Danio rerio: one gene and its partners. The protein of the gene in region 3 interacts with the protein of the main gene of each other region in a biochemical or structural test. Links are inferred from orthologs where the notes say so. Each region holds a gene or a part of one and is shown on either strand. Other genes may lie near its edges.

The links.
Region 1: the proteins of rab6a (region 3) and kif20a form a complex in vitro, tested with the Homo sapiens proteins (2 studies listed by BioGRID). The link is inferred for Danio rerio from reciprocal best matches to the Homo sapiens genes RAB6A and KIF20A.
Region 2: the proteins of rab6a (region 3) and bicd1a form a complex in vitro, tested with the Homo sapiens proteins (3 studies listed by BioGRID). The link is inferred for Danio rerio from reciprocal best matches to the Homo sapiens genes RAB6A and BICD1.
Region 4: the proteins of rab6a (region 3) and ocrl form a complex in vitro, tested with the Homo sapiens proteins (2 studies listed by BioGRID and IntAct, with this or other methods). The link is inferred for Danio rerio from reciprocal best matches to the Homo sapiens genes RAB6A and OCRL.

Annotation. Positions count from the first base shown.
Region 1 is NC_133196.1:38,602,508-38,610,061, reverse strand, and holds part of kif20a (kinesin-like protein KIF20A), read left to right. Parts: coding exon 1-39; intron 40-1,887; coding exon 1,888-2,037; intron 2,038-4,250; coding exon 4,251-4,390; intron 4,391-4,500; coding exon 4,501-4,603; intron 4,604-7,554. UniProt on the Homo sapiens protein: Mitotic kinesin required for chromosome passenger complex (CPC)-mediated cytokinesis. Following phosphorylation by PLK1, involved in recruitment of PLK1 to the central spindle. Interacts with guanosine triphosphate (GTP)-bound forms of RAB6A and RAB6B.
Region 2 is NC_133193.1:13,403,563-13,411,557, forward strand, and holds the start of bicd1a (protein bicaudal D homolog 1), read left to right. Parts: upstream 1-2,804; 5' UTR 2,805-3,121; coding exon 3,122-3,337; exon of another isoform or gene 3,338-3,388; intron 3,389-7,995. UniProt on the Homo sapiens protein: Regulates coat complex coatomer protein I (COPI)-independent Golgi-endoplasmic reticulum transport by recruiting the dynein-dynactin motor complex.
Region 3 is NC_133185.1:41,755,394-41,762,947, forward strand, and holds part of rab6a (ras-related protein Rab-6A), read left to right. Parts: intron 1-1,767; coding exon 1,768-1,826; intron 1,827-1,923; coding exon 1,924-1,977; intron 1,978-4,856; coding exon 4,857-4,962; intron 4,963-5,095; coding exon of another isoform or gene 5,096-5,201; intron 5,202-7,455; coding exon 7,456-7,554. UniProt on the Homo sapiens protein: The small GTPases Rab are key regulators of intracellular membrane trafficking, from the formation of transport vesicles to their fusion with membranes.
Region 4 is NC_133189.1:38,419,419-38,426,972, reverse strand, and holds part of ocrl (inositol polyphosphate 5-phosphatase OCRL), read left to right. Parts: intron 1-361; coding exon 362-475; intron 476-2,132; coding exon 2,133-2,279; intron 2,280-2,396; coding exon 2,397-2,625; intron 2,626-2,707; coding exon 2,708-2,866; intron 2,867-3,418; coding exon 3,419-3,520; intron 3,521-7,172; coding exon 7,173-7,287; intron 7,288-7,385; coding exon 7,386-7,502; intron 7,503-7,554. UniProt on the Homo sapiens protein: Catalyzes the hydrolysis of the 5-position phosphate of phosphatidylinositol 4,5-bisphosphate (PtdIns(4,5)P2) and phosphatidylinositol-3,4,5-bisphosphate (PtdIns(3,4,5)P3), with the greatest catalytic activity towards PtdIns(4,5)P2.

The DNA of each region.
Region 1 (7,554 bases), on a different chromosome or scaffold from region 3:
ACACTCCAAGCACTCAAATTCTCTGCTATTGCCACACAGGTGAAAATACTCTTCATTTTTCTATAAATATGTTTCAATTTCCTTCCATGACAGCTAACTATAGGGTTTGTATAAGTGCTGCCAATATTTGAAAAATCTTAAATCATAATTAATTGTTTTCAAAATTAGACTTTTGGGTAAAGTGCTCAAATGTTATTGTTGCTATTATTGGGTTTGGGGCAAACATGCCATTAAAATTTTTCTTGGTTACTTTGAAATGGCATTTGATATAATGTAGTATGGAGTATGCATATGTATGTTAGGCATGGGATGATAACCGGTTTGAAGGTTTACTGTAGGGCTAGGTGATATTGGAACAAAAAAAAAAATCACTTTATCTTTTATCACTGTCTTTTATCATTAGATATCGATAATTATTGAACATTTTTTAAAATAAATTTAGGAATATTAGGAATTTTTGTTATTTAACGACTTCATTTTAATTGACCAACATTACTAAAGCAAATAGTTTTAATAGTCAAAAGCAAAATTGTTTAAACAAAATGCTTAATCTCTTTATAATAAAATAGACTCTTAAACTAGATAAAATGTTACAAAGTGTGTGCAATAGTAAAGTACAAATACTGAACAATCAAAGAAAACTTATAGTGTGAATAATAATCATACAGTAAGCCTCAAACTTTGTCAAAAACACAAATTATGATGATCAAATCTGAGCTTTCAAGTAAAGGAACCAACCATCATTATTGTTGTGAAGTTGAATAACTATATTACCCCAATGCAAAAAAATCTTTAAGATGGGGAGCTAGTGCTTGGATTCACAAGAAAAGAAACCAAAAAGCCATTCTGGCGACATCCTATTTTATTTACAATCTTTTCACTGCGGTTATATGGCACTCATTTTCGCATGTGTTGTTATTCTGACCTGAAGGGACAAGCGCGTGTGCGTGGATTCCTTGACCATTTACTATGGACTTTAATGGTGTTCGGTCAATAAATATCGATACTGATATTTATCGCCTAGCCCTAGTTAACCACGATTTGGAAAAGTTAACATTTCCTGTTATACCGTTCATATGGTATATGTGTTTTTTTTTACAGTTATTTTATTTAGTTTTTTTAACATGGTTCAGCAAACATTTGAATACAAATCGCTTTACATACCAGCATCCAAGCATGCTATCGACCTGAACAGTGCAGGGGCTTACTTTATATTCAAAGAAAAGAAAGATATCTAAAGATACCTTTTCAAATTGTAAAGAAATCGCAATACTGTAAAATCGTGGTATTTTTGTCCAGTTTCATACTGGTTCATGCTATCAGGATCTTCAGGTTTGTGCGGGTTCTTAAAGTCTTAAATTTCAAAAAACAAATTTTAGGTCTTAAAAGGTCTTAAATGCATTAAACTATTGTGTTGTAGGTCTTAAATCATTTTAAATGGGTCTTAATTTTCCTATGTGAACGTAAAGCTATACCCAATTAGGCCAACATCCATACAATCACTAGCAATATATTTCTGAAAAAGTTTTAAGAAACGCTTATTTATTAATTCTATTTACTTATTATTATGGTTTAAATATCTTCCTTACAATAGCGTGTTTTTAATGTGTTTTTTTTTTAAGGTTTTAAATTGGCCATTTAAAAAATCTTTAGCTTTTAGCCTTGTGGAAGTCTGAAATTTCAATCATGGTCTTAAAAAGTTTTAAATTTGACTTTATAAAACCTGTAGAAACCCTATACCAGCCCATGGATGCCTAATGGATGTAAATATGTCGTTTGCCATACTTGTACAGTAAAATGCACCTGGAAAGTGCTTAAGTTAAACTTTTTTTAAAAAATGTGTCACTCTGAAACTATATCTGAACACAAATTTTTTTATTCTTTCAGCTGGTGCATGGCCCGTGCAGTAAGACACGTGTTGCATACATTCTGTCCCTGCTCCGTGAGCAGCCAACTCATCCCAACGACACCACTTTACTAGAGGAGGATGAGGAGGAGAGTGATGAGGAAGGAGACATCACCATGTTTGATCCTGAGGTAAACCCAGTTAAATTCAGTTGTAGTAGTTCAAATCACTCTTAATCCTCATTAGCAGTTTCAAACAATTTCCAAAAGTTATTATTCTTCACTGGATTTGTGAGGAGGGATGAGATGTGGTTTCAGTGTACACAGTCAGGTCCAAAAATATTGGTCACAGTATTTCGACACAGTTCCAACATTATGGTGCTATACACCAACACAATGGATTTTAAACAAGATGTACTTTAACTGCAGACTGTCAGCTTTAATTTGAGGGTATTTGAATCCAAATCAGGTGTACGCTGTAGGAATTACAACAGTTTGCTTATGTGCCTCCCACTTGTTAAGGGTCCAAAAGTAATTGGCTTCTTAGCTGTTCCATGGCCAAGTGTGTGTTGTTCCCTCCCAATGACAATGAGCAGATAAAAGGTCCAGAATTAATTTAAAGTGTGCTATTTGCATTTGCAATCTGTTACTGTCAACTCTTAAGATGAGATGCAAAGAGCTGTCATTATCAGTCAAGTCCTCAAAAACGGGAAGGCCAGATTAGAGTTCTAAAAAAGCCTTCACAGTTCTGGAACAACATCCTATAGACGGATGAGACTAAAGGCCCGTGGACACAAAGGCGTTTTTTTCTTGCGGTTTTCGTCAACATTTAGTGCCTCTTGACTAAATAAAGGAAGTCAATGTGATCGTGCACACCAACACTCAAAATGCTAGACGCCAAAGCGTCATTTAAAAAAAACAGCTCATGCTCGTTTTTTTGTTTTGACTTCTCCACCAATCAGATTGGCACTTTTTTGGAGCTGCTGAAGTAACAGTAAACAGCACTTGGAGGCTGCAAATGCAAAACTGTCAATGCAAGCACACTTTGAAGAAGATCAACAGAGGCAATATGAACGTGGAGCTGCTTATTGCTCTGTGAACAATAATCATTTCTTCATCGCTGGAGCTGCTACTTGAACCATCCATGCTTGTTTGAGTCACCAGTAAATTCAACAACAAGCATGTGGACTTCCTCTCTTCCTCTTCTTCTGTGTTATAAGCGAGGTGTCAGAAGCTTAAAGTTGTATAGTGCCAGCTAATGTCAAGAAGTGATTTTAGCATACTCTTCTGCTTGAAGCCACAAGACACGAGCGTCCTGGTGTGTACCAGCCTTAAGATTAACTTGTACCAGAGTGATGAGAAGAGTATGGAGAAGGAAAGGACCTGCTCATGATCCTAAGCAGTGAAGCATGTTGGTGGTAGTGACATGGCATGGGCATTCATGGCTTCTAATGGAGCTGGTTCTCTTGTATTTATTGATAACGTGACAGCTGACAAAAGCAGCAGGATCAGAACTCATTGGATGGCGCTTTACAGAACAGATGGATGATGACTGCAAAACCAACCAAAGAGTTTTTGAAGGGAAAGAAGTGGAATGTTATGCAATGGCCAAGTCAATCCCCTAACCTGAATGCGCTTTGAGCATGCATTTCACTTGCTGAAGATGAAACTAAAGGGAAAATGCCCTAAAAACAAGCAGAAACCAAAGACAGTTGCTGTAGAGGCCTGGTAGAGCACTACCTGGAATGAAACTCAGGGTCTGGTGATGTCTTTGCATTCCAGACCTCAGCCTGTAACTGGCTGCAAAGGATTTGCAACCAAGTATTAAGTGAAAAGGTTAATTTATGATTATTATCCTGTCCAATTACTTTTGGTCCCTTAACAAGTGGGAGGCACATATGCAAACTGTTGTAATTCCTACAGCCTACAGCGTTGACTTGATTTGGATGTAAATACCCTCAAATTAAAGCTGACAGTCAGCAGTTAAAATACATCTTGTCTGCAGTTAAATCACATATCTTGTTGATTTTATTACAAATCCATTGTGTTGGTGTATAGAGCCAAAAATTTTAGAATTATGTCCCAATATTTATGGACCTGACTATATATAGCCATATGATAATTTTTTTTGTGCTCAAACACGCATGTAGAAAGCCATTACGATGTTATTTTCATTTATGAGAGTAGCTGGGTTTTTATTGCCTTGTGTTAATACAATATAGGTGATTGAAATGTATAAGATGTATAAGATACAAACCACAGTTTCATAGGGGACCTTTGACAACAACAATTTCTTTTTTCCATGTAAAAGTCTCAGAGGAGATGTATGAAAAGTGTGGAGATCTGTCTTCAACTCTAGCAATAGTGAGTTTTGTAGTTCATCTAAATTTTTGAATGTTGAACAGGCACTGCTGAAGGCCATTGATGTTCTAAAGCGTGAGGTGCTGCGCCAACGGCAAGAAAAAGAGGAACTGGAGGCCAAGGTTCGAGAGGAGGTCTGCACTGAGATGATGGAGGTTATCAGCCGCATGCAGGATGACTTCAGGTGCTTCATTAAGTGCTTAAATGAGGAAAAAATTATATTAAGAGCAAATGCATATGTACTGTCATAATAAATAGCTGATGCAGTTTTTAAATGTCTGTTTTGCTGTACAGTGAGACCCTGGAGAGCGAGAGGGATCTGATGGAGAAGAGATGTGAGAACAAAATTAACAACTTGAAGAGCAGCTTGAAGAAATATTACAGCCAAGAGCTAGAGGTCAGTGAAGGGAGAAAGTACAAAACCCTTATTTGTGAATCTGACTAACTGAACTAAAACTGTTTACGCCTGGTATCCATGAGGGCTGCACAATATCAAAGTCCCTTTAAGGCAAGTCATTTCACTCAGGGGCCATCTTTAAAATGCCTCTTGGGCATTATGCACAGGCATTCTGTCTGAATGCATAAGCAATAAATTCTTCAAAACTGTTAGCCAAGCTTATGATTACATTACATATTTGGAATCACCAATTAGAATAAACAATAACCGTCTCGTAAGTTTCATTTCTAAACGTCTGAATCAAACAAAATGCACACTCAAAAGGAACAAAATCACGGCACCAATCTCATTTATGGCCGTTCTACTTGTTATCATCCTCTGGATAATGATCGTCTGATCGCGCTGCTCTTCTGAAGTAATCCACAACTTAAAAGCTTAATAGCGAATCTTCTCCAGAAATGACAGCAACTCTTTGTTTACAAATTTGTGGGCATTTGAGAACTTGCTGCTGTCATGTGATGTGCGTTTGACAGGACGGACTGTACCTCGCGTTAGTTTCGTAAGGACTACAAAACCAAAAATCTTTGCACTTCATTCATTTAAACCAAGTATTCGCTGAGATTACACTGTGTTTGTTGACCACCAAACTAAAAATAGCACACATCTGGTCTGAGCTTCTCCCCAGGAGAAACGTCAGTCTATAGTGATCGATGATTGTCTCCTGTACTAGTAGGCGGTGCTTTATTTACCATATTGACCATTACACCTTTTACCATTCAAAACTATAATAGACATGTCTTGTGTGTTCTATAGTCTTTGACTATATATCGATATCGCAATGTGAATCTGCAATAGTCAAATGCAGTTTCATAAATTTCAAATGAATTGAAACCATTTGGCCACAAAAAATTATACAGATTGCCACTTTAGTAAAGATTAATCGTGTTTATTTATACAACAAATACAGTGTTATTTCACATTTGATCATTGGATTTATATACTGTTGGACTGTTGGGAGATTGTTTTCATCTGTGCTTTAATTTATTATGTATTTATTTTTGATAATCTTGAACATTTTATGCAGATCTATACCCATAAGAAATCATCCCAGTCAATGTAAAATTCTGAAATCTTTCCATGTAGTCATCTTATGAAGCTATATTTATGCCATAATGTAAATCGCAGAAAAACTAAATATTGCATTTTTTTCCAAAATCGTGCAGCCCTAGTTATAGGCATCCTTTTCATCGGATTAATTACTGTCATGGGTGAGGCAGTGGCGCAGTAGGTAGTGCTGTCGCCTCACAGCAAGAAGGTCGCTGATTCGAACCTCGGCTCAGTTGTCGTTTCTGTGTGGAGTTTGCATGTTCTCCCTGCCTTCGCGTGGGTTTCCTCCGGGTGCTCCGGTTTCCCCCACAGTCCAAAGACATGCGGTACAGGTGAAGTGGGTAGGCTAAATTGACTGTAGAGTGTGTGTGAATGTGTGTGTGGATGTTTCCCAGAGATGGGTTACGGCTGGAAGGGCATCTGCTGCGAAAAACTTGCTGGATAAGTTGGCGGTTCATTCCGCTGTGGCGACCCTGGATTAATAAAGGGACTAAGCCGACAAGAAAATTAATGAATGAATAATTAGTCATTTGTTTAGTTTGAAGTCTCTTCTGGTAGGGTTATTATAGTAACAATTAATTGTCTATAATTAAATCAGCAAAAGCTAGATCATCAATGGAGTATACAATTTTTAGGCTGACAAAACTTACAGCAGACAGAACGTCTGGCATGTGTGTTTATGTACAGTCATTGGCCACTTTATTAGGTACACCTGTCCAACTGCATGTTGACACACATTTCTAATCAGCCAAACAGCAGCAACTCAGTGCATTTAGGCATGGAGACATGGTCAAGACGATCTGCTGTAGTTCAAACTGAGCATCTGAATGGGGAAGAAAGGTGACTGAACATGGCATGGTTGTTGACAAGACAGGCTGGTCTGAGTATTTCAGAAACTGCTGATCTATTAGGATTTTCACACACAACCATCTCTTTAGGGTTTAGAGAGAATGGTCAGAAAAAGAAAATTTATACAGTAAGTGGCAGTTCTGTGGATGCAAACGCCTTGTTGATGTCAGACTGGTTTGAGTTGATAGAAAGGCAACAGTAACTCAAATAATCACTCGTTACAACTGAGGTATGCAAAAGAGCATCTCTGAATGAACAACACCTTGAACCTTGAAGCAGATGGGCTACAGCAGCAGAAGACCAAACCGGGTGCCACTCCTGTCATCTAAGAACAGGAAACTGGGGCTACAATTTGCAGAGGCTCACCAAATTTGGACAGTAGAAGATTGAAAAAACTTTGCCTGGTCTGATGAGTCTCGATTTCTGCTGCGACATTCGGATGGTAGGGTCAGAATTTGACATCAACAACATGAAAGCATAGATCCATCCAGTCTTGTATCAATGGTTCAGGCTGATGGTAGTGGTGTAATGGTGTGGGGGATATTTTTTTGGAACACTTTGGACCCATTAGTACCAATTGCGAATCGTGTCAAGGCCACAGCCTACCTGAGTATTGTTGCTGACCATGTCCATCCCTTTATGGCAATCATCTGATGGCTACTTCCAGCAGGATAACGCGTCATGTCGTAAAGCGTAAATCATCTCAGACTGGTTTCTCGAACATGACAACAAGTTCACTTTACTCAAATGTCCTCCACAGTCACAAGATCTCAATCCAAAAGAGCACCGCTGTTTTGTGGTGGAATGGGAGATTTGCATCATGAATGTGCAGCCGACAAATCTGCAGCAACAGCTGGATGATATCATGTCAATATGGAGCAAAATCTGAGGAATATTTCCAGTATCTTGTTGAATCTATGCCATGAAGGATCAAGGCAGTTCTGAAGGCAAAACGGGGTCCAACCTATTACTATTAAGGTGTACTTAATAAAGTG
Region 2 (7,995 bases), on a different chromosome or scaffold from region 3:
AGCCATGAGATTGATATTTAGACTAGCCTCAAGGCTAATTTTAGCGGCCTTGATTGTTTTCTGGGTGTTACTGATTACAAATTGCACAATGAAAATTGTAGTTAACAGTTATCTTTTAGATGACTAATTTTACACTGTAAAATTAAAGTTTTATTAACATTTTTAATAGTTTAAAAAAATAATACATTGTCTGGAATTGTGTTGTATATTGCAGTGCATAACCTTGTAATAAACTGCCACTACATTTTTTGTTGTTTTAGAATCAGAATCAGAAAGAGCTTTATGTTCACACATACAGTTAATGTACAGTTATTAGCTCCCCTGTTTATTTTTCCCCCAATTTCTGTTTAAGGGAGAGTTTTTTTCAACACAGTTCAATTGTTTTAATATCTAATTTCTAATAACTGATTTATTTTATCTTTGCCATGATGACAGTAAATAGTATTTGACTAGATATTTTTCAAGACACTTCTATACAGCTTAAAGTGACATTTAAAGGCTTAACTAGGTTAATTAGGTTAACTAGGCAGGTTAGGGTAATTACGCAGTTATTGTATAATGATGGTTTGTTTTCTAGCCTATCGGAAAAGTAATAGCTTAAAGAGGCCAATAATATTGACCTTAAAAGGTTTTTTTTAAACTAAAAGCTGCTTTTATTTTAGCTGAAATAAAACAAATACGACTTTTTCCAAAAGAAAAAAATAAATATTATCAGCCATATTGTGAAAATTTCCTTACTCTGTTAAAGATCATTTGGGAAATATTTAAAAAAGAAAAAAAATGCAAAGGGGGGCTAATAATTCTGACTTCAACTGTACAAAGAAATTGTTTTCGTGACAGCTTCTACAGTGCAATAGACTTACAGAGACTGGACAAAAACAGATAAAAATTATATTTTAAAAATAGAAGTAAGTTGTGAATGCAAATATACAATTTGACAAGTGTACAGGTGTATTACTATATACAGTGTTATATGTGCAGCTGTTACGTGCAAATTGGCAAGTTGTTAAATAAATAAGTGTAGAAAAAAGTAGTGATGTTTGTTTTACAATTATAATAAGGTGTTCATGGGATGGATTGCCTATTACAGACTTACTTCCCTATTTCTTATGCATTATATTATTTCAAACTGCTGATATGTCAATAATAGTCACTTTGTTAAACTAGGGTTGAATTTTTAACATCAAAAGTCAACAGAGCAGAGATCAACGTCCCATGATGTAAAACACTGAAAACACTTGTGAATCACAAAATGCAGAAATTGTTAATCAATAGATTTTTTACAGTGTAGGTAAGGATTATGACTACTTTTGGATTACTTTTAGATTACTTTTATTTAGATTTTTTGATTGTAACAGGTTTTAATGGCCTTTGTGCGCTGTAAAAAAAAAAAAGTAGACTCAGCTCAAAATTGTAGGGCAGCTGGCTGCAAAGATTTTTTGAGTTGACTCAACTTTCAACCCAAATACTGCACTAGACTTGATTTAAGTTGAGTAAACTCAAAAATATCCTGAAACTGGTTGCCTTAAATTTTTAAGTTAAGTCAACTTTTTTAGTGTGCAGAGAGAGAGACAGAAAACATAAATATAAATATATTTACAATTAATATAATTTTTTAATATAAATTTTAATATAATTTTTATTTGCCTGCATGCCAATTGACCAAAATATTGTTAAATTATTATAATATTAAATTAAAAAGTGGATTCAAGTAAATATCTTTGGTCAAATGAGTTGACTGGGAAAGATTTTTGGGAATCCCTGCATCACATAAACATACTGTATTACATCAACACATACTGATGTAGATTATTAGTAAACAATAAAACTGCGTTTACGTGGTCAATGCCTTTTGGGTTTTAAATAATTTAGTGATCTATATATTTACAAATGTATTTTCCAACATTTACATTTTTGTTTCATAAGCATAAATGTTGTCTCATAATTGCAAATTAATTCATGTTGCCATTTTGCATTGAAGAATTAAAAGATAAATGATACTTGAATTTTTAGAAAATAATTATTTTTTATTTTCTGTCATTGTGTGAATATTTCTTTAAATATGTAGACCATAATATGTTTAATCTGATTCTGTGCATTTTAATACGTATTATAATCTAATTAAAATTAGTTATTTAATCTGGTTATAGTAATGAATATCACATGTTATTAGTTATTACTGCTCAGAGTAAATGTTTACGTTTTACAATCTTTTCCACGCGTTTTGACCAAGAATTTGCTTGACTTTTTTTCACTTATTCTGGAGTATTGAACATCATCATCTGATCACTCTTTAAAATAATACACAATACAACATGTTAGTCGTTTAAGCAGATCTGGATTTGGGATGATTTTCAGAATCTAAATGTAATAGTCCAACTAGCCTGCTTCTCTTTGAACATGTAATTTGCGGCCTTGTCCAGCAAGTGGCGCAATATTATTTAACATCTTGCATGTTACAACATAATAGCGTTTAAGTGGTTATCCATAATCAGAACAGATAACATTTTGTGCATCATTAAAGATTTAGGAAGCTTGAGCATGTTATGCCATTTATTTCAAGGATCAACAGTAGGCCTATTTGCTCTCTTTTGCTTTACTGACTAAATTTGTCGTTTACAATAATAATTTTTCATATAACTAAATAAAATTGACTTCACTATTAATCACTTTTGTTTAACTATGCATAGACTTACACTACATAAAATACACACCAATAATGCAATATAAATAATGCAAACGATGCGGGACGGGGGGAGGCAGTGAGTGACGTCACATGTGATAGACAGAATCAACTTCTGCTCACTTGGCATTCCGGGTAGATGGCGCCGGTTTTCCTCATAACATTTGAAGTTAGAAATTAGAATAAAAAAATATAAATGTAGGCCTATTTGATGGAATAAACAATATTGCGGTTTATCACAGCATCGTCTACCATGAAGAAATCGAGTCCAGCCCATGTGTCTCTGGTGTAAACATCATTTCAGCGTCGGCAAACAGGAGGCGCATCGGGTGGACGGACTGCAGCATCTCCACCTGAATCTCTCCATCAGCCTCCGCCTTTCGGAGAGTCACGGGAACGGAGGACGCGGAGATCATACCCGACCGGAGACCGCAGGCGATGGCAGCCGGTGGAGGATGCGGGGAATCGGTGGATCAGTACCGGAGCGAGGTGGAAAGGCTGACCCGAGAGCTCGCAGAGGCAAACCGGGAGAAGATCCGGGCTGCGGAATGCGGTCTGGTGGTCCTGGAGGAAAACCAGAAGCTCAAACATCAGTACGCCGAGCTCGAGATCGAGCAGGAGGCTTTAAAACAGGAGCTAGAGCAGCTTCAGGAGGTAAACACAGCTCGGATACTTTCATATGTTGACATGTCAATAATTCAAGATGTAGGCTGTATAGTAGTTTCACCACATATTTGCTAAATTTAGTGGCTTTGCATCAGAAATCTTTATATTATTTATATATTATTTATATATATATATATATATATATATATATATATATATATATATATATATATATATATATATAGTTGAAGTCAGAATTATTAGCCTCTGTATATTTTATACACATGCTAATTTTTATTTAACGGAGACAAGATTTTTTTTTCAACTTATTTCTAAATATAATAGTTTTAATAGCTATTTTCTAATAACTGATTTCTTTTACATTTGCCATGATGAAAGTAGGCCTACATAATATTTTACTGGATATTTTTTCAAGATAGCATATTCAGCTAAGAGAGCAATTTAAAGACTTAACTAGGTTAATTATCTGAGTTAGGGTAATTGGGCAAGTCGTTGTTGACAGTTGAAAGCAAATTGCTTAAAGGGGCTAATAATATTGACCTTAAAACGTTTTTAGAAAATTAAAAACTGCTTTTAATTTTCCCGAAGTAAAACAATTAAGACTTTCTACTGAAGAAAAAAATATTTATAGGAAATAGTGTGAAAGAAATTCTTGCTCTGTTAAAAATAATTTTGGAAATATAAAAAAATTCACAGAAGGGCTAACAATTTAGACTTCTGTATATGGATCAGATGCAAAAACTTCTAAGTGCCATATGAAATGTTATTGTAAAATGTAAAAATATATATTTAAAAAAATCTCTTATGTGATTTAGTCTAAATAGTTTTACTTTTATTTCGATAGGTTAGTTTTATTGTCTTTAAAGTGAAATGTGAGAAAACTTTTCATTTTTTGAAACTTCATATGGCACGTATTTGTTTTTTTTTTTTTGTGGAAAGGGGGGGGGGTGCATTATATTTATAAAGTATGTGATTTTAAATTTATTAATGAGGTTGTTCAATTTTAGACTCCTTCAGGTGAGGAATGATTCTTGTGTCAGGTTTATGAAGAATCTTTTGTGTGTCAGGAAGTTTTCTGGGCATTTGGCCCATTACAGTTCATTCCTGCTGGGAAATGTTGTCTTCTCTCTGAGTCTGAATGTCAATAAGATGTTCACTCATGGCATACATGTATCATCATTATGTCTGTTTATCTGATTGTGGGTTCTATCTATCTATCTATCTATCTATCTATCTATCTATCTATCTATCTATCTATCTATCTATCTATCTATCTATCTATCTATCTATCTATCTATCTATCTATCTGTCTGTCTGTCTGTCTGTCTGTCTGTCTGTCTGTCTGTCTGTCTGTCTGTCTGCCTGCCTGTCTCTTTCTGTCTGTCTGTCTGTCTGTCTGTCTGTCTGTCTGTCTGTCTGTCTGTCTGTCTGTCTGTCTGTCTGTCTGTCTATCTATCTATCTATCTATCTATCTATCTATCTATCTATCTATCTATCTATCTATCTATATGTCTGTCTGTCTGTCTGTCTGTCTATCTATCTATCTGACCCATATATAAAGCTCAGTGATTTAGAAGTGTTGCTAGATGATGATATGATTTTTTTGATATAAACAAATTTTTAACAAAAAAAAAAATTTAAATCAGCATAAGCCCATGCTTTGTAATTGTTGAGTTTTGTGACATCCTAAATGATAAGCGTAATGAGCAAATAAAGCACACAGTAACCATCCAAAGTGGACACCCATTACTGGTTTAATACTGTTTTCGATCGACCACAATGTAACATATCTAGGACAAATGGACTCTTTTAGAGGGGTGAAATGATGAACAGATAAGGATGAAAGGAGAGAGGAACAGGGAAACGGAGACAAATAGTGATGGAACGGGATACTTCTGCAGTCATCTAGAAACTGGTTGCACAGCACAAGGTGCCTTATTTATGCTTTAAATGTGATTGTTAGTACAATTACAGAATGTTGGGGATCCATGTTGAATTGTTAAATCATAGTTAAACAGAAATAATAGTCATGGTGTCTTGAGAAAGCCAAGATACTATTACATAAACTACTACTACTTCTTCTGAGACCAATTTCCATAGACCATTTCAATGTGATGATGTCATTGGCAAATGAACATTTCATAACTGCAAGAGGCAAGTCAATAATAACTTATTGTTAAAACAGCTATCATAACATTACTATCAATATGTGGCTCTTTTTGGACTCTCTGAAGCTATAGAAATTAAATGTAAAACAGATAATACATTGGGACCATTGTTTTTGTTTACATGCCTCAAAATGGTCTATATGCATATCTACTAAACCATTTAAGCTACAAAAACTAACCTCTAAACCTCAAAACTGGTCTGACTCTTTTCCAACTGATCTGACTCAGAAAATTTGAAAAAGTCCTATTGGCTTAACAATGGACCAAACTTTCTGACCTCATACTGTAACTTTTCGCCAGACTGTCATACGAACTTAAGGCTGGGCTTATTTAACTCAGACTACCAATCTGCCAGTCATTAGTGAACTTTCAACTTACTAGCCACACCCTACAAAGCCGCACCCTATAGGAACTATCCCATAGACTTCCATTGTAAAAAAAAAAAAAAACTGCCATTGACTTTACATTGGACATGCTAACAACTTACCAATTCTTCACTAGATACTAGAAATATACTAACAAACATGTTAAAAATATACTAATCCATACTGAAAAAAATACTAACAACATTCATTCATTCATTTTCTTGTTGGCTTAGTCCCTTTATCAATCCGGGGTCGCCACAGCGGAATAAACCGCCAACTTATCCAGCAAGTTTTTACGTAGCGGACGCCCTTCCAGCCACAACCCATCTCTGGGAAACATCCACACACACATTCACACACACACTCATGAACTACGGACAATTTAGCCTACCCAATTCACCTGTACCGCATGTCTATGGACTGTGGGGAAAACCGGAGCACCCGGAGGAAACCCATGCGAAGGCAGGGAGAACATGCAAACTCCACACAGAAACGCCAACTGAGCCGAAGTTCGAACCAGCAACCTTCTTGCTGTGAGGCGACAACTGTCCTGTGCCACTGCCTTGCCTACTAACAACATATCCATACTAAAAACATACTAAAAACATGATAATCATGCTATAAACATTAGTGCTTGATTGTATATGATTTTGCATCTTGACAACAATTGAAGCAGAATATTTTTTTTATTTATTCTTTTAGTTATGTTATGTTTATGTGGTCTTTATTGTTGTCAGTAAAATTAATTTTCCAACTGATCCGACTTACAATTTTCCAAAAACTGACCCAGCAAATTTGGAAAAGTCCCATTGACTTAACATTGGACCAAACTTTGTGACCTCATAACCGTTCACCAGACTGTCATACAGACTTAAAGCTGGGCTCATTTAACTCAGACTACCAATCTGCCAATTACTGATGAGTTTTCAACTTACTAGCCACACCCTAGCAACCATTTACGGCACTCTAGCAACTGTCCCATAGACTTCCATTGTAAAAAAAACTGCCATTGACTTTACATTAGACATACTAACAATTCAGACTAGCAATATACTTTGAAAATGGACTAATCCATACTAGAAATATACTAACAAACATACTAAAAATATACTAATCCATACTAGAAACATACTAACCACATATCCATACTACTAACAAACATACTAATCATATAATAAACATTAGTGCTTACAGTATATGTGAATTTGCACCATGAGCACAGTTAAAGCAGAATAATCTGACTTTTTGACCTAATGTTTATGGGGTCTTTATTGTTGTCAGTGAAACTCATTTTTGGATGATGTCCTCTAGCTGATGTTTTTGAGCAGTTTTATTGTAATATATGAGTATAAATTATTTAATCAGTGTCCTCATGTTTCCCTATAATCCACTGAAGTAAAGCACAGCAAAGGTCAACGACTATGATGGGCCTTTGTTTTCTTTGACAATATGTATGACTGCTTATCTTAGACATATATTCACTGACAGCAGTGAGTCATTTGCAATGAAAAACTGTCATAAGTGTGTCAGTAATTGCATTTATTTTCATGGTGTCTCCCCCTCTATCAGGCTAGTCTGCCCTGTGGGCTCGTCTTTAATTAACCGTTATCATGCAAATCATGCTAAAGCTTGCCTTTCCAAGCCAGCCAAAAATTGGGGTCAGCTTGACAAAATTTGCACTCAGTTTAGGATTGCATGGAACTGTTTATCATTTGTTATCTATTTAGATGTTTTTTATCTACTTCGGTAAAATTAGAAATGCATTTACTTCATGTTTATTTAGTAAAACTCTGAGTACAGAGCGTGCAGACATTTTAAATCCTGATTTGTATCATTCAGAGTGCGATCAATAATGCATATCTGTTTTGCTCCTTGCCTTTCGGATAGTATCTGTGTCTTTCTTTGTGTTCAAAGCATATTTGCTGTTTATAATAGAGTCTGTCTGCGGATGATAGTCTTGTGAAGGACACAAGCGCTGGAGGTGATATTTCCTCCTGAGGACTGACCTGCTATTTGGTCTTTTTTCTCTTTATCTTTCTCTATTTATTCTCTATTTTGATGAATATTAAACAGAACGTGAAGGGCCACGTTGCACCTTTTGCCTTCGGGCTCAATTCCTTGGAGAGTTTCTCTGGAATTTACTTGCAAATCA
Region 3 (7,554 bases):
GTTTCACTGGACACCAATTTCACAAGTCATTGGGCAAGAATTCAAAAGTACATCTGCAGCATAAAGCATAAACAAAGATTATGTGGCATTATTTTGTAAACATCTTTCAGACTAGACTTCTGAGGCTTTATGCTTGAGGCTTTTCTGAAATTTGAATAGGAAAATAAACATTGCAAACTGTTTGCATATTTACAGACACCATTGCATGTGTTGTTCATGGTCTCCTTTTAGATAAATCTATCACGTGTCATGAGAAGAGTCTGATGTAAATAAGATTTGAATGCACAGAAAATTTTGATAGTTTCGATAGATATTGAAAGATTAAATTTTAGACTAAATTTTAGACTAAATGTTGATAGTTTTGATAGATATCTTGCAATGTCAATGTTTTTTCCAATATTGTGCAGCCCTAATATTAGGTAATGTTATTTTTTTCTGTTATTACCTCTAGTAGTGTGCTAAAACCGTAGGCAGTTACATCCACGTTTTATTAAATGGAGTTAATAATAATAACCAGTTATAACTAAAATTAACATTTAGTGTAATACATCTAGCTTTTTCTCACTGTTGATTTTAACGCATTAAGGTTTACCAGTGAGACTTCTGTAAAGTGTTAGCTATTGTACTTTATAGTCCTTGTGCAATTTAATTTGGTTGAAACATTTGTGTACTCTGATTATGTATATACATTATGTGTTTATTGTTATTATTATTACTGCTAAAGTATTTTTCAGCTTAGGTCAACATTGTGATAATACCGTATATAGTCAGAAAACTACAGCAAGTAATTTCAGCCACTGCACGATATTGGAAGAATCTGTTCCTGCGATTTATTTTATTTTTCTGCAATTAAATTTTGCAATATAAATACAGTTTTCTTTGACAGTTTGAATAGTTTGAGGGTTTTCTGAGGAGTCTAACAGTTAATTAAATATAGTAATCACTATAGGGGCTACATGATATTGGAAAAAACTGGCGTCGCAATATTTTATATTCCTGCAATGTTGAGTATAAGTTTAACAGATGAAATGAGTAGCTCTATTTGGATAGAATTAATCCATTTAGGATAGTTTAGGATGAAAATAGGATGATTTTGTTGTGGCGTGCAGTGATAGATGCTGTAAATAATTTAAATAAATGCTTCATTGTTTTTCTGAGACTCTAACAGTGTTCAGGTACACAAGTTAAATATGTAAAATAAATATCACTTGATTTGTTGTGAGAATTACAAAATTTTTTATAGCATATATATAATTTAATAATCTTTCCTGAAGTTAATTAACTTTAAACCATCTTGAAATGCGTTCACAGTTACATCTTTAAAACACATGCAAATTAGATGTTTTTTGGTAACTTTATGAACTCTAAAGAAGAATTAAGTCCAGATTGATAGTTTTTACTTAAAACAAGCCAAATTATCTGCCAGTAGGTGAATTAAAATACTCTAATGTTTGCTTTGAAATGTAGATATTTAGGCAAGAAACACAACAAAAATTCAAAGAAAAAAAATAACACTTTATATTTTTTGCATAAATCGTATATATTCTGTATAAATACAGCAATTAAATGTATTTGTGTAGCTCCTGGTGAACTATAATTCAGACTGAACATTGCACATCTTGTGATGTGTCTTTTGTGGATGCGCACTTTGGGATATCAATGCTGTATTGATATATTGTGCAGCCCTAATCGCAACGATCAAATTTGATACCGGCAGAAGCCTAATCTAATGTTTTAGTAGTAACATGATCATTTTTGATTTTGCAGTGGGAAAGACGTCGTTGATTACCAGATTTATGTACGACAGTTTCGATAACACCTACCAGGTAAGTGATGTTGTTTGTTCTCAACTTTAAATGTTTCTGATCAGTTGTGTGGTTTGGCGTGCTTCATCTCTAATGTTTTGTTGCTTTTAATTTTCAGGCCACGATAGGAATTGATTTCTTGTCGAAAACCATGTATCTTGAGGACAGAACAGTAAGTAATTTATTTTTCACTCTAATAGAAAATGCATATGGCTTTAACTGTTTAAAATATACTAAATGCATGAAATTATCATAGAGATATTAAGAAATGACTGAGGGATTTGATAATCTTTTTGTAAATTAAAGTGAATTTGTTTATTTAATGGAATTGATATTTTCTTTTCTCGTTCTTCAGAACATTATTTGTATATAATATTATATGTTAAGTTTCTTTGATTTCTGCCACACTCTCTGAAATGGTTTTAAAGTTGTAAGTGATAAATAATTGTTTCAGTGCATTGTGTTTTAGATGTATAGTAATTAGGGATGTGCAATCGTAAAAAAAGTCTATTGTTTCATATTATTATGCTCTTGTTTATTTTGTGGTGTCACAATGTACATTTCTTATGTTAATACTTTTTTCATAGTTCATATAAACACAATATTACAAGTCAGAAACATAAAAAAAATCTTGAAAGTACAATGTTTACATTTTGCATTTTATTTAGCGATGATGTTGATTTTATTTATTTGCTTTTTACGTTGAACTTTTTATCATTCGTTTTTGAAAAGTGTTTATTTTATTGTTATTTAATTTTTTTAAAGTTCTAAATAAAGCTAGAAATATGATCACATATGAACGAGTGATTTTTCTATCATGCTTTATAATGTAAATCAAAATAATATTACATGCGGTTTAAATATAAACTATTAATTAATTACATTGACAGAAATGGTACTGAATTTGAGATGATTTATTTTGTGATATAAGACTATTGTCATATATATCCCAAACACGATGTCTGGGAGATAAACTCGTATATCTAGAGTCACTTGAGAAGTTTTCACCGCTTTACTTAAGAAAAATCTGCTGTCAGATACTAGCTGATATTGAAAGATGAAAAATGATCAAATAAAAGATTATTTAAAATAGCATATAAATGTTTCATTCATTGTTTTCTTTGAATGTTAAATGTTGTTTTAAACCTTTGATATTTGGAAATGTCTATAAAAGTCAAAGATGAAGTGCGCAAAGAGAAACTCCTGTGCCTTTCTCCACCTGTTGTGTCCATTGCCCCAGCCTCTTTCTCTTTTCTCTTTCACTCTCTAGTTATTTGTTCATACATGTTTGTTTCCTTTTATAAAGAATTTCTCTCATTTAATTTTTTTTTATTTTGTATAATTATGTTTTATTCAGAAGATCTGCTGTCCTGATAATATGGCCAAACCCTGGCCCATACCTTAACCCTACTAACATTTGAATACTTTACTAACAATAGACTTAAAGGGTTAGTTCACCCACTCTTTAATCACTCTGGAGCTGTTTTACCACAATATGCATGCTCAGAAAAACCATAAAAAGGTAATTTATAAAAAGGTCTCTTGCTTATGGCTGTTTTATACAATGGCTGCAACTAGATCTGCAATAAAAGTATAGTTCACCCAAAAATAAAAATACTCACTCTCCACTTGACCAATCCTGTTTGAGTTTACAAATGCAGATAAAAAAACACAAATTGATTTCCATAGTATTTTTTGTTCTTACTATATATGTCAATGACAGCTTTTCCCAACATTTATCAGTATATCTTATTTTATGTTCAACAGAATTTTTGTGGAAGTTTTGTTCATGCCATATTTAAAATTAATGATGATAATTCATATATAATTATATAGTTTGTTAAGTCTGTGGCACTAGTAAAGCAGTTATCAATACTAAAGGAAGAAATGTTATTAGACCTTTAGAGAAAAAAAAAATGATGCTTTACTTTTGACTTAAACCCATACCTAATAAAACCAATAAAGTGAATGGTTTTACCAATCCTTTGGCCCTTTTTTGTAAATAATTTTCAAATATACAGTTGAAGTAAATATTATTAGCTTTCCTTTTAAAAAATATTTAACAAATGATGTTTAAAAGAGCAAGGATTTTTTTACAGTATTACCTATTATGTTTTTTTATTGAGAAAGTCTTCAGCTATAGTAAAAGCTGTTTTACATAAAATAAGACATTTTAAGGTCAATATTATTAGCCCCCTAAAGCAATATTTTTTTCAATTGTCTACCCTGAGCACGCTTGCGTCATCAATGATGCAATTGTTCGGTTAGGACAAGAAGCGCTCTTGCTCAGTACAATGGAGATGGCTTTAATTGTATTGTTTTGTATTCATTTAAGTCAGTGACGCAGTCAATTATTTTGCTGAACAGATCCACAACTTTTGACGCTCATAAATGTTCATGAAAGTCATCATGCTGCAGGTATTAGGAGGTTTGCTGAAGGTGTAGCTGACGTGCCGTGAGGGGTTTGTAACTTTAGTAAATTAGGACAGTAGTTCTTGTTCATTGAAAAGTAAGATTGATTAGTAAATCCATATGAAACAGCCTCTAAAAGTGACGTTGCGTCTTCAGTTTCGGGCTCAGGCGCACTTTTAGTACACTACTAGCGTACCTTGCCAAAGCCCAACCGATCTGCACTTTAAGCTGAATACTAGTATCTTGAAAATATCTAGTAAAATATTATTTACTTCATTTATTAAAACTATCATGTTTAAAAATGTGTGACAAAATATTTTCATTAAGCAGAAATTTTGTAAAAAAATATACAGGGGGGGGGGCTAATTTTTCTGTAGGGCTAATAATTCTGACTTCAACTGCATATCTTTTGTAGTCAGTAAAAGGAGGACTGAATTTACATTGACGGGTGAACTACCGCCAGCATTTAACAGTCTCAAATACATTGTCCATTTTGCTTTCACCCATTCCTTGCATTTTTATTTTCTATTCTGTTTTTTTCTTCCTATACATCATCTTTTCCTTTTAAACATTTAATTTCCTCCTTTTTTTCCTTTTTACTCTGGTTCCTTTTCTTTTGTTTGTTCTCCATTCACACAGATCAGGCTGCAGCTTTGGGACACAGCAGGACAGGAGCGTTTCCGTAGCCTCATTCCCAGTTACATCCGAGATTCAGCCGCTGCTGTTGTAGTTTACGACATCACAAGTAGGTATCAGAGACTCAGTGTGCGTCCAGTTCCCCTCCTCTTACCTCTTCCTCTTCCCCTTTCTCCCCATCTCTCTCTCTCTCTCTCTCTCTCTCTCTCTGCTGCATCTCTGGTGCTAAAATGTTTGGTCAGGTGCGGCTGCAGCTTTGGGACACAGCAGGACAGGAGCGTTTCCGCAGTCTGATTCCCAGCTACATCCGGGACTCGACGGTTGCTGTTGTAGTCTATGACATCACAAGTGAGTGTGGATCCTCGGCGGGAGATCTTGAGGAAGAGGAAAGATGTCTGTCATCTCAACGCAGTCTCTCCTTTTCTGTCTCTCATTCTATTTGTTTTGTTTGTTTGTGATTCCATCTTTCTTGTCTTATGTTTGTGGGACTTGTTGTTTTTTCTTTGCTTTGCAGTTTGGTGCTAAAGTGGAGCGCTAGACACCTTTGTTTTGTTTCGTATTTGAGCTTACATGTTAACAGATCTTCATTAGTTAATAAAAGGGACATAATAGTCGTTTTTATGAAGATGAATTTAAAAACAAGCTAAACACAGCGGAATGACCAATAAAAATATTAAAGAGCAGTATATTTTTGCAGTTGTGATCAGTGTTAAGGGTGACGGATTACCCGCTTCGAATGTTATCACTCGATTGAATGGCCGTTATCAGTGGTTATCATATCAGCTAATGGATATGAACTAGTAGGCTCAGAAGGCTGTTATCATCCATCAACATGGTTAATCAGCTATACTTATAGAGAAGACTCAAGATCTGTTTCTACATTACTGTGATTGTTGGGGTAGGAGTAGACGTTAATAAAATACAATTAATAGGAAATTTGTTAAATAATATTAATAATTCTTGTGGTTAATCGGCTTTACTAATAGAGGAGACTCCATATCTGTTTTTTACAACACTGTGATGGTTGGGTTTGGGTAGATGTTCATAAAATACAATTAATGTGAAATTTTAAAATTAATATAAATTATTCTCGTTAACTTCCGGCTGAAGCCATATGTGATCTACTGCTGACTAACCATGTGGATGGATAACAGCCTTCTGAGCCTATCAGTGGGTTCAGACAGCCCCTACTGACCTATATCTATTAGCTGATAACCACTAATAATGCCCCTTCAAATGAGTGATAACATTCAAAATGGCTAAACAAATTCTAAGTTACATAATAATATTACTTTTCTAAGTAAAGTAATGGATTACTTTTAAAAATTAGGTAATAATATTTGAGTTTCTTTACATTTTAACAAAATCCAAGTTACTTTTTATTTTTATTACTTTGCTTTTAAAAAAAGATAATTGTTGAATTAAAATGAACAGTCAGAATGTGCTCGGCACAGACAGAAACCAAGATGATTCTGGCTTACATTTCTGGGATAGAAGTGTTTTCATTATTTTTAACACTTGGAAGAATATGAAAAGGGGATTATCTCAATGGACAGTGACTTTTACTTCACAAATAAAACAAAAAGTACAAAAGTAGCAAACACATTTCTTTAAACTTGCATTAATCTGTATATACGGCATGTATAGCACTGCGGTCAGGAAATTCTTAGAAGATAACATTATCATACGATATTATTTTTGATGTGTTTTTTTTTTAAAGGTAAACGAAGGTTATGCAGTGTATTGTTAATAGTTTCTCCATTTAAAAAAAAAAGAAAAAAACTGAAAGAGATCAAGCCTCAGCCATGCAAGAAATATTTACTCAAAAGTAATGTAATGCATTACTTACCATAAAAAAGAAACTAAGTGACGCAACTACTTTTTATTGGAGTTATTCAATGCTGTGCTTTCAAAAGTAAATTTCCTCAACACTGGTTGTGATCAAAAGTAGAAATATACACTTCTTACAAATACCAAACATTTTTTGTGTTTTTTTTATAATTGCTTGAAATATTAAATGATATGTTTCTGTTATGTGTTCACATAATTCATTTGTAAATGGCCAAAAGGAATTTAAAGGCCATGCAAGTTATTACTTATTTTGGGAAAGGGAAATGCCAAGTCCGGGTAGAGACGCAATTACATGCAAACCATTAAAAATGATGTTGTTATTTTTTTTAATTTTAGTAGAATGATTCTGGTCCTTGATGATTTATAAAATGTAAATAGCTAAAAATTCACAAACAAAAAACTAACTAGCGGCATTTTGAAGTTAAAAATAAAAAAAGATAGAGGCAGAATAAAATTAATATTATTTACAACATGATTACCTTTCATCCAGAGCTTGCCAAATAGTTTTGTGCTTTTTCCAGTTTTCATGTTTGGCCACTACTGTAGCGTTGGTTTTCTTGATTCTTTTCCTGTGATTTACATTAATGAGCACAGAGACACTTGAAGCTTTTGAAACTCCTCCTTTCTGTCCTCTTATTTTATCGTTCTGTTATTTTTCTTCTTTGAGTTACCTTCATGTTCCTGGGATTCCCCCACAAACCCCTGAGGTTCACCTTCATAATTAACCCATTTTCTCTAAAATCCCTGACAGATGTCAACTCATTCCAGCAGACCACCAAATGGATCGATGACGTCCGAACGGAAAGAGGAAGTGATGTCATCATCATGCTAGTGGGAAACAAAACAGATC
Region 4 (7,554 bases), on a different chromosome or scaffold from region 3:
AAATACTATATGTAGTGTGTTTGGAAGATTATATAACCATTGAAATTAAAACCAAGTGTGTTTCTAATAATTATTTCATCATATTTAGATGAGTCATGCAGTTGAATAATATCATGATTTAGTTCATCATCTGGTCATAAGCAGCTTATTGTATAAGCATTCAGCCTAAGCAGCTTATTGCTACTCTTATCCATTCAATTTCATTTTTAGAACTTGTATGAAATGCTAATACTGTAGCTTGCATTGTTTTTGTGCAGAGGTTTTCCAATGCATTCTGCCTTAATCAATTGAGGGCTCACTGAATAATCAAATGTATAATTGTAATGTTTAAATGTAAGAATGTGACACTGTTTCTCAACAGAGACAGTACGAATACGTCTGCGAGGTGAACGAACACCGGAGCTTCTGCTTGAGCTTCAGGATGACGGGCAAACGCAGTCTTTTCTTGAGCATGTGACGAAGGCCAAACAGCAAGGTGATACACCTTATTTTCCCTGCACAGGATGCAGCCGCAAACATCAAGCCACATTCCTTATTTATTAACTACTCTAATCATTTATTTACCTGGGTAACCAACACCCACATTTATAGCTTTGTCAGTAATGAATGCTTCCCTGGAAGAATTTAACCTCAAAGCCAGACTGACGGTTTGAGAGTTATACATTTATGGTGTTGGTTTACTTGAGTTTACAATGATAGATCCACAATCAAAGCTTAGTCTCCCTGCTGTAGGAGTTCTCCAGTTTGTTGCCACTGAATGTAGCCTTAGGTTGTCCCTTATGTTGCCTATTGCCTTAGGCTCCCTTTTATATATTTGTCTGAAGTCTAGTCGATTAAAGATCAGGGCAATTGTAAAAATAGTATATTATGAAATTTTCTCATCTGGTTTATTTTGACAGATTTTTTTTTTTTTAAAGCAGAAATAGAACTCTGGATATTTATACTCTGATTGAAGCCCAAAGTATGATTGTGCATCGACATAATTGTGTGACGCATAAACACTAGAAAATCCAATTTCAATGGCTTTTCTTTTTTCTTCAAAGGTTAAAAGTCATGAAGTCTGCTTATTTAAAACTTGTGGGTTTTTTTACCGTATTTGCTCATGCAGTTTTGTCCATGTTTTTTTCCACTGTGAAGCATCAGCCTGGTGATGTGTTGACCCCCTGTGGAAAAAAAAAATGTAAAATAGGATATATAAAGCACATTAAGTATGCACGTAATGTTCACTCACTTGCACTGTTTACATACCCTACCTTATGCTAAAAAACTGAAGCATATTTAAGACCAGAGTGCGAATTACAGGGGGGTTTGGGATGGATTGATCCCCCTAATTAACGCTTGATCCCCCCTGAAGGATGTCGAAACAAGATGTAGTTTTGTAGTTTAACCTACAGTAACATCTGAAATGGCTCATCAGAGAATATTGTAACATACCTGCCAACACTCCCGTTTTTCTCATGATTCTCAAGTGTTTCAGATTCATCTCCTGCCACCCTCCCGTTTTGTTATTTCTCCCGGAAAACTCCCATATCTTCATCCAAACTTCCCCGCCAAGGATAGAAAAGATACCTCAGCTTTTTTGTACCTTCTGTGAAACCCCCTCGTCACCAACTTTGGTATAGGATATAATCGCAGCGACTGCTTAAAACACGCTTCATAGTACAGTTACTAACACCAACAGTGTTATTCAGACACCTCAACCTCGAACCTAACCCCCTCGTCTCCCGGATTTTCAGGGACAAATGTTGGCAGGTATGCTTTAAGTCAGATTACAAACTTAAATGCGTTTTATTAATAAACTAGATGCAACTAAAAATAAATACATAAACGACTGAAGCATGTATTACACAAACTAACCAAAACAGTTGACCCCCCCTGATCATCAATTTATAATTCACACACTGCTTAAGACTTTAGGTGTACAGATTTGGCTCATCAAAAATGTAATAATGCTGGAACAGACATTTTCATGTACTGTTAACTCTAATAAATTCTTGCTGGCCATACCAACTAACTGTCATTGAGTTTAAAAGCATGTTTTATCTGTTAAATGCATATAAAAGGCTCTTCTCAATTGGTTTAATGCATCAAGTCAGATCTGAAACATTAATGTTGAATTGGTCCACCTTTAGCTGAGAGGAGTTCACTGCCCAGGAAGATGGAGCCAGTTGTACCTGCTCCAGTTAAAGACTGTGTTCCAGTTCCACCTCAGAGAGGAACCTCCAAATCCTTCTCAAACAACATCAACAACAGCACTTTAGCAAATCCCTCAAACACAGGTATAAAAATGGCATACATAATGCAAGAACATTACAATATTTGCATTGGTTTACAGGGACATACATATATCACAGTAGTTGCTTGTGGAAACTCAGTGACCCTTTCTGTACCTGCAGATTCCACCCGCTCGCTTGCCACAGATTTTGGCTTTGAAGAAAACTTTAACCACGTTTTAAAAGTGGAAGAGAAGAAGAACAAGCAGAATCGTTTAGTTGCACAACGAGAGCCACCACCTCCACCAATTCCCCCTCTTCCTCCTAGGAAAGGCACAAATACATCATTGACAGGCCCAGCTACCAAAGAAAGGCCACCATCTGTACAAAATGCCACACCTGTCAGAAATGAGTAAGTGCTACTGGTCTTAAATGCAGAAACTTATGGATTTTCAGAAACTGTTTTTAAAATGTTGTGCTCCTTGTCATTGCAGATTTCAGTCTGTAGACCGATCTGTTTCCTGGTCTGAAAGCCCGTCCAACTCCACCATAAGACAGGCCATGATGAGCAGCCATGCAGGGTCAAGAGAAGGTTTGCTCAAGTATCGCCTCAGCAAGAAAGAGAAAGAATATGTGGACATTAAGAACTTTAAGTGAGTGTCAGTTTTCCATGTGCATTTTGTCAGTAAAGTCAGCTCTTGTAAACATCCAGCATATGGAGTTGAAGCAGCATTTACTACACAGAGTTGTTTTTTTTGACTAAGGATGCAAAATAGCATTTAAAGTTGAAATCTGCATATCTGGATGAAAATGATATTGAAATAATCGCTCTGTGATAATAGCAGCAGTTTGCATCGCTTGTCAGTGAACTACGGCTCTGTGTAGTTATTGCTGCAAATGAAAACACCACGTGACAGTGTTTCTACCTCCAATTGATTTCATAAATTCAGTTAAGTGTTTAAACTAAAATTTTCCTGTTTGTTGGTCATGTTGAATCAATGAAAGTATTTAAATTCTATGTTTATAGTCAAATGCTATGAAGTTTTACTGGATTTCTTTTTTTTGTGGGCCCTCTGGCCTTTGGAGCAGATTTACTACTGATGATAGAACTTTTAGGATTATCACCCAGGTCTACTGTAAACTTAACATCAGTGATTTTGTTTTGACCGCTTTAAGGTGATTGATTAAATCCCTCTATTTGACAGGTTCTTCGTAGGCACGTGGAATGTAAATGGTCAGTCCCCTGACAGCAGTCTTGGGCCCTGGCTCAGTTCTGACCCAGACCCTCCTGACGTCTATGCACTAGGGTGAGTGTCACATCATGAACTGAGAACACTGTTATACCCAGAATTCCATGCGAATTGTGTCATCTTTAAATAGGAAATTGTTATTATTTGCAATTTTGTAGCATTTTTACTTGCCCTCCACTTTTTTCCAAACTTACAGAAGTTTATTTTCTACTGTTAAACAGAAAAAAATACTGCTGTATGTATATGTAAGAAAAAAAACATGCCATCATTACATTCATACATACATATCACTATGCACATACATAATTACCTATATATACATCACATAAACTTTAGAAGTAAAATAAAGAAAAGAAAAAAATAAGAAGAAAAAGGGAAAAGAAAAAAGTAACAACAAAAGTAAAAAAGTATAAAATTAACACGTTTAACAAGCCAAACATATGAGATTGTTTTATATCTTCCAATTAAAATTCACTTAAATGTGGTTGTCTTTATATTGCCTATATATCAACCATTTTTTTTCCAACCCTTCCTGAAAATATCTGTTTTCATCCTCAACATAAATGTCAGTTCTTCCATTATGTTATCAAAAAGTTGGTTGTTCGTTATGAGTTTCATTGTAGTTTTTACTACAATAGAAGTTATTGGGTAACATCAGCTGTCTGGTTACAATAATTCTTGTAAGCATAAGTTATTTTGTGTTCAGCAGAAGAAGGAAATCATACAGGTTTGGAACAAGTGAATGGTAAATGATGACAGAATTTGTATTTCATCCTTGTAATGTATTTTATTCATAATTAGGGATGCACCAATATGTATTTTTGACCCAATTTCTTTAGATTTGGAGGCAGATAACCGATATATATATGATCATTATCTACAGACCTCCAAAATATTCTCCAGCTTTTATTGAGGATTTTACAGAGCTGTTATCAATTGTAACCTCTGAATTTGATTATTTTAGTATTGCTGGGGATTTTAATATTCACATTGATAATCCAGAAATCAATGCTGTAAAAGAACTGATGACTGTTTTTAACACTTTTGATCTGACTCAGCATGTTCAAGGACCCACACACAATCGTGGACACACTCTTGATCTACTTATAACTAAGGGTTTACACATTTCATCGACTGTTGTTAAGGATGTGGCACTATCTGATCATTTCTGTATCTTTTTTGATATATTGATCACTCCAGCTATTAAAGACAGATCTGTCTCTGTCAGAAAGAGATGCATAAATGAGAACACCAGTGAGCAGTTTATGAAGGCCATATCGCTAGCACCAAGTATATCTGCAGATTCTGTTGATTCTCTCCTTGATTTGTTCAACTTTAAAATTGAGAATGTCATAAATGACATCGCTCCTGTTAAAGTCAAGAAGCTGACTGGCAGGCAAAAGGGATCTTGGACAAGGTCACCGAGAGTACAAATGATGAAAAGACAGTGCAGAAAAGCTGAGCGTATGTGGAGAAAGACGAAACTAGTAGTCCATTATAATATCTATAAAGACAGTCTTCATGCCTTTAATATGGAACTAAACACTGCTAGACAGACTTTCTTTTCAAGCCTTATAAACAGCAACTTAAATAATACTCGCACACTCTTTGCAACGATAGAGAGACTCACAAACCCCCCCAGTCGGATTCCAAGTGAGCTACTCTCTGAAAGCAAATGTAATGAGTTTGCTCATTTCTTCACTGATAAGATTAATAATATCAGAAAGGCAATCAGCTCATCCAATCAGTCAAGTTGTGTCGATATCAAACAAGCTCAACCACAACTTGAGAAGTCAGACATTATGTCTGATTTCATGGCAATTAACGGCAAAATCTTAGAAGAAATTATGCAAGTTATGAAAACATCAACCTGCAGTCTTGACACGCTCCCCACATCATTCTTCAAATCGGTGTTTACCTGTTTAGAAATGGATCTTCTAAAAGTGGTAAATGCTTCACTTCTCTCAGGGATTTTTCCAACCTCACTTAAAACTGCAGTTGTTAAACCCCTCTTGAAGAAGAGCAACCTGGATAACACCCTATTGAGCAATTACAGGCCAATCTCAAATCTCCCTTTCATTGGTAAAATCATTGAAAAAGTTGTTTTTAACCAGGTTAACAAGTTCTTAAACTTCAGGGGGTGTTTAGACAATTTTCAATCTGGTTTCAGAGCACATCACAGTACAGAGAGCGCTCTTATAAAGATAATCAATGATATACGCCTAAATACAGATTCAGGTAAAATAACAGTGCTGGTATTGTTGGATCTCAGTGCTGCATTTGACACTGTCGATCACAGCATACTTCTGGATAGGCTGGAAAACTGGGTTGGGCTGTCTGGCACGGTCCTCAAATGGTTTAGATCTTATCTTGAAGGTAGAGGTTACCATGTCAGTATAGGTGACCATAGGTCGAGGTGGACACCCATGACGTGTGGAGTCCCACAAGGCTCGATTCTGGCTCCTCTCCTGTTCAACCTTTACATGCTCCCTCTGAGCCAAATAATGAGAAAGAACCAAATCTCCTACCACAGCTATGCTGATGACACTCAGATCTACCTAGCCTTACTGCCTAATGACTACAGCCCCATTGACACCCTCTGCCAATGCATTGATGAAATGAGCAATTGGATGTGCCAAAACTTTCTTCAGTTAAACAAAGAGAAAACTGAAATGATTGTGTTTGGGAACAGAGATAAGGTTCTCAAAGTAAATGCGTACCTTGGCACTAAAGGTCAAACGACAAAAAATAAGGTCAAGAATCTTGGTGTGACTCTTGAGTCAGATCTGAGTTTCAACAGTCATGTCAAAGCAGTCAGTAAATCAGCATACTATCATCTCAAAAATATTGCAAGAATCAGATGCTTTGTTTCTAGTGAAGATTTAGAAAAACTTGTTTATGCTTTTATCAGCAGCAGGGTGGATTACTGTAATGGACTCCTCACTGGTCTTCCTAAAAAGACAGTCAGACAGTTAAAGCTCATCCAGAATGCTGCAGCCAGAATTCTAACAAGAACCAGAAAATCAGAACACATCACACCTGTCCTCAGGTCTTTACACTGGCTGCCAGTTACATTCAGAATAGATTTTAAAGTATTATTACTGGTCTATAAATCACTAAATGGCCTAGGACCTAAATACATTACAGATATGCTCACGGAATACAAACCTAACAGATCACTCAGATCATTAGGATCATATAAACTAGAAGTTCCAAGAGTTCAGTCAAAGCAGGGTGAATCGGCTTTTAGCCACTATGCCCCTCGCTGCTGTAATCAGCTTTCAGAAATGATCAGATGTGCTCCAACATTAGGCACATTCAAATCAAGACTGAAAACACATCTGTTTAGCTGTGCCTTTACTGAATGAGCACTGTGCTGCATCCGACAGATTGCACTATCATGTTTTTCTCTTCTTCTTCATTCTTTTATATCACATTTTACCTGTTTTTATGTTTTAAGTTCGACCCCCGCATGCACAAGGCAGGCAGTTCTGTACAATTACATAATCTATCGGCTTTAAGATATCGGCCTAATTTTGAAATAGGATCGATAACAATATCATTAAAAATAGAATTTATTGGCTTATAATGATGTCGTCGCCGATATATTGTGCATCCCCTTTCATAATAAATAATTGTGCGCTATACATTGTGTATTGTAAGTTTGTCTGTTATAGTGCTTTATTCAGCTTATTCTGTCATTTGTCAGATTTCAGGAGCTGGACCTGAGCACAGAGGCGTTTTTCTATATGGACTCATCCAAAGAACAGTTATGGGTTGATGCAGTAGAGAGAGGCCTCCATCAAAAAGCCAGATACATTCAGGTGATCAGTGAATACCAACTGAAATGTCCTGCTTGTAATCATTTGGTGGCCAAAGAAAGTGGTAAACATTTGCTGAACACCCTGCATGCTGTCTTCAGGTTCGTATTATCCGCCTAGTGGGCATGATGTTGGTGGTGTATATCAAAAAGGAGCACAAAGATCAAATTCGAGAGATCGCTTCTGAGTCTGTGGGAACTGGCCTCATGAATAAAATGGTATGTTTAGATTTGTTACAATAGGAAGTGGTTTGTTAAGAGGAAGTCTCCA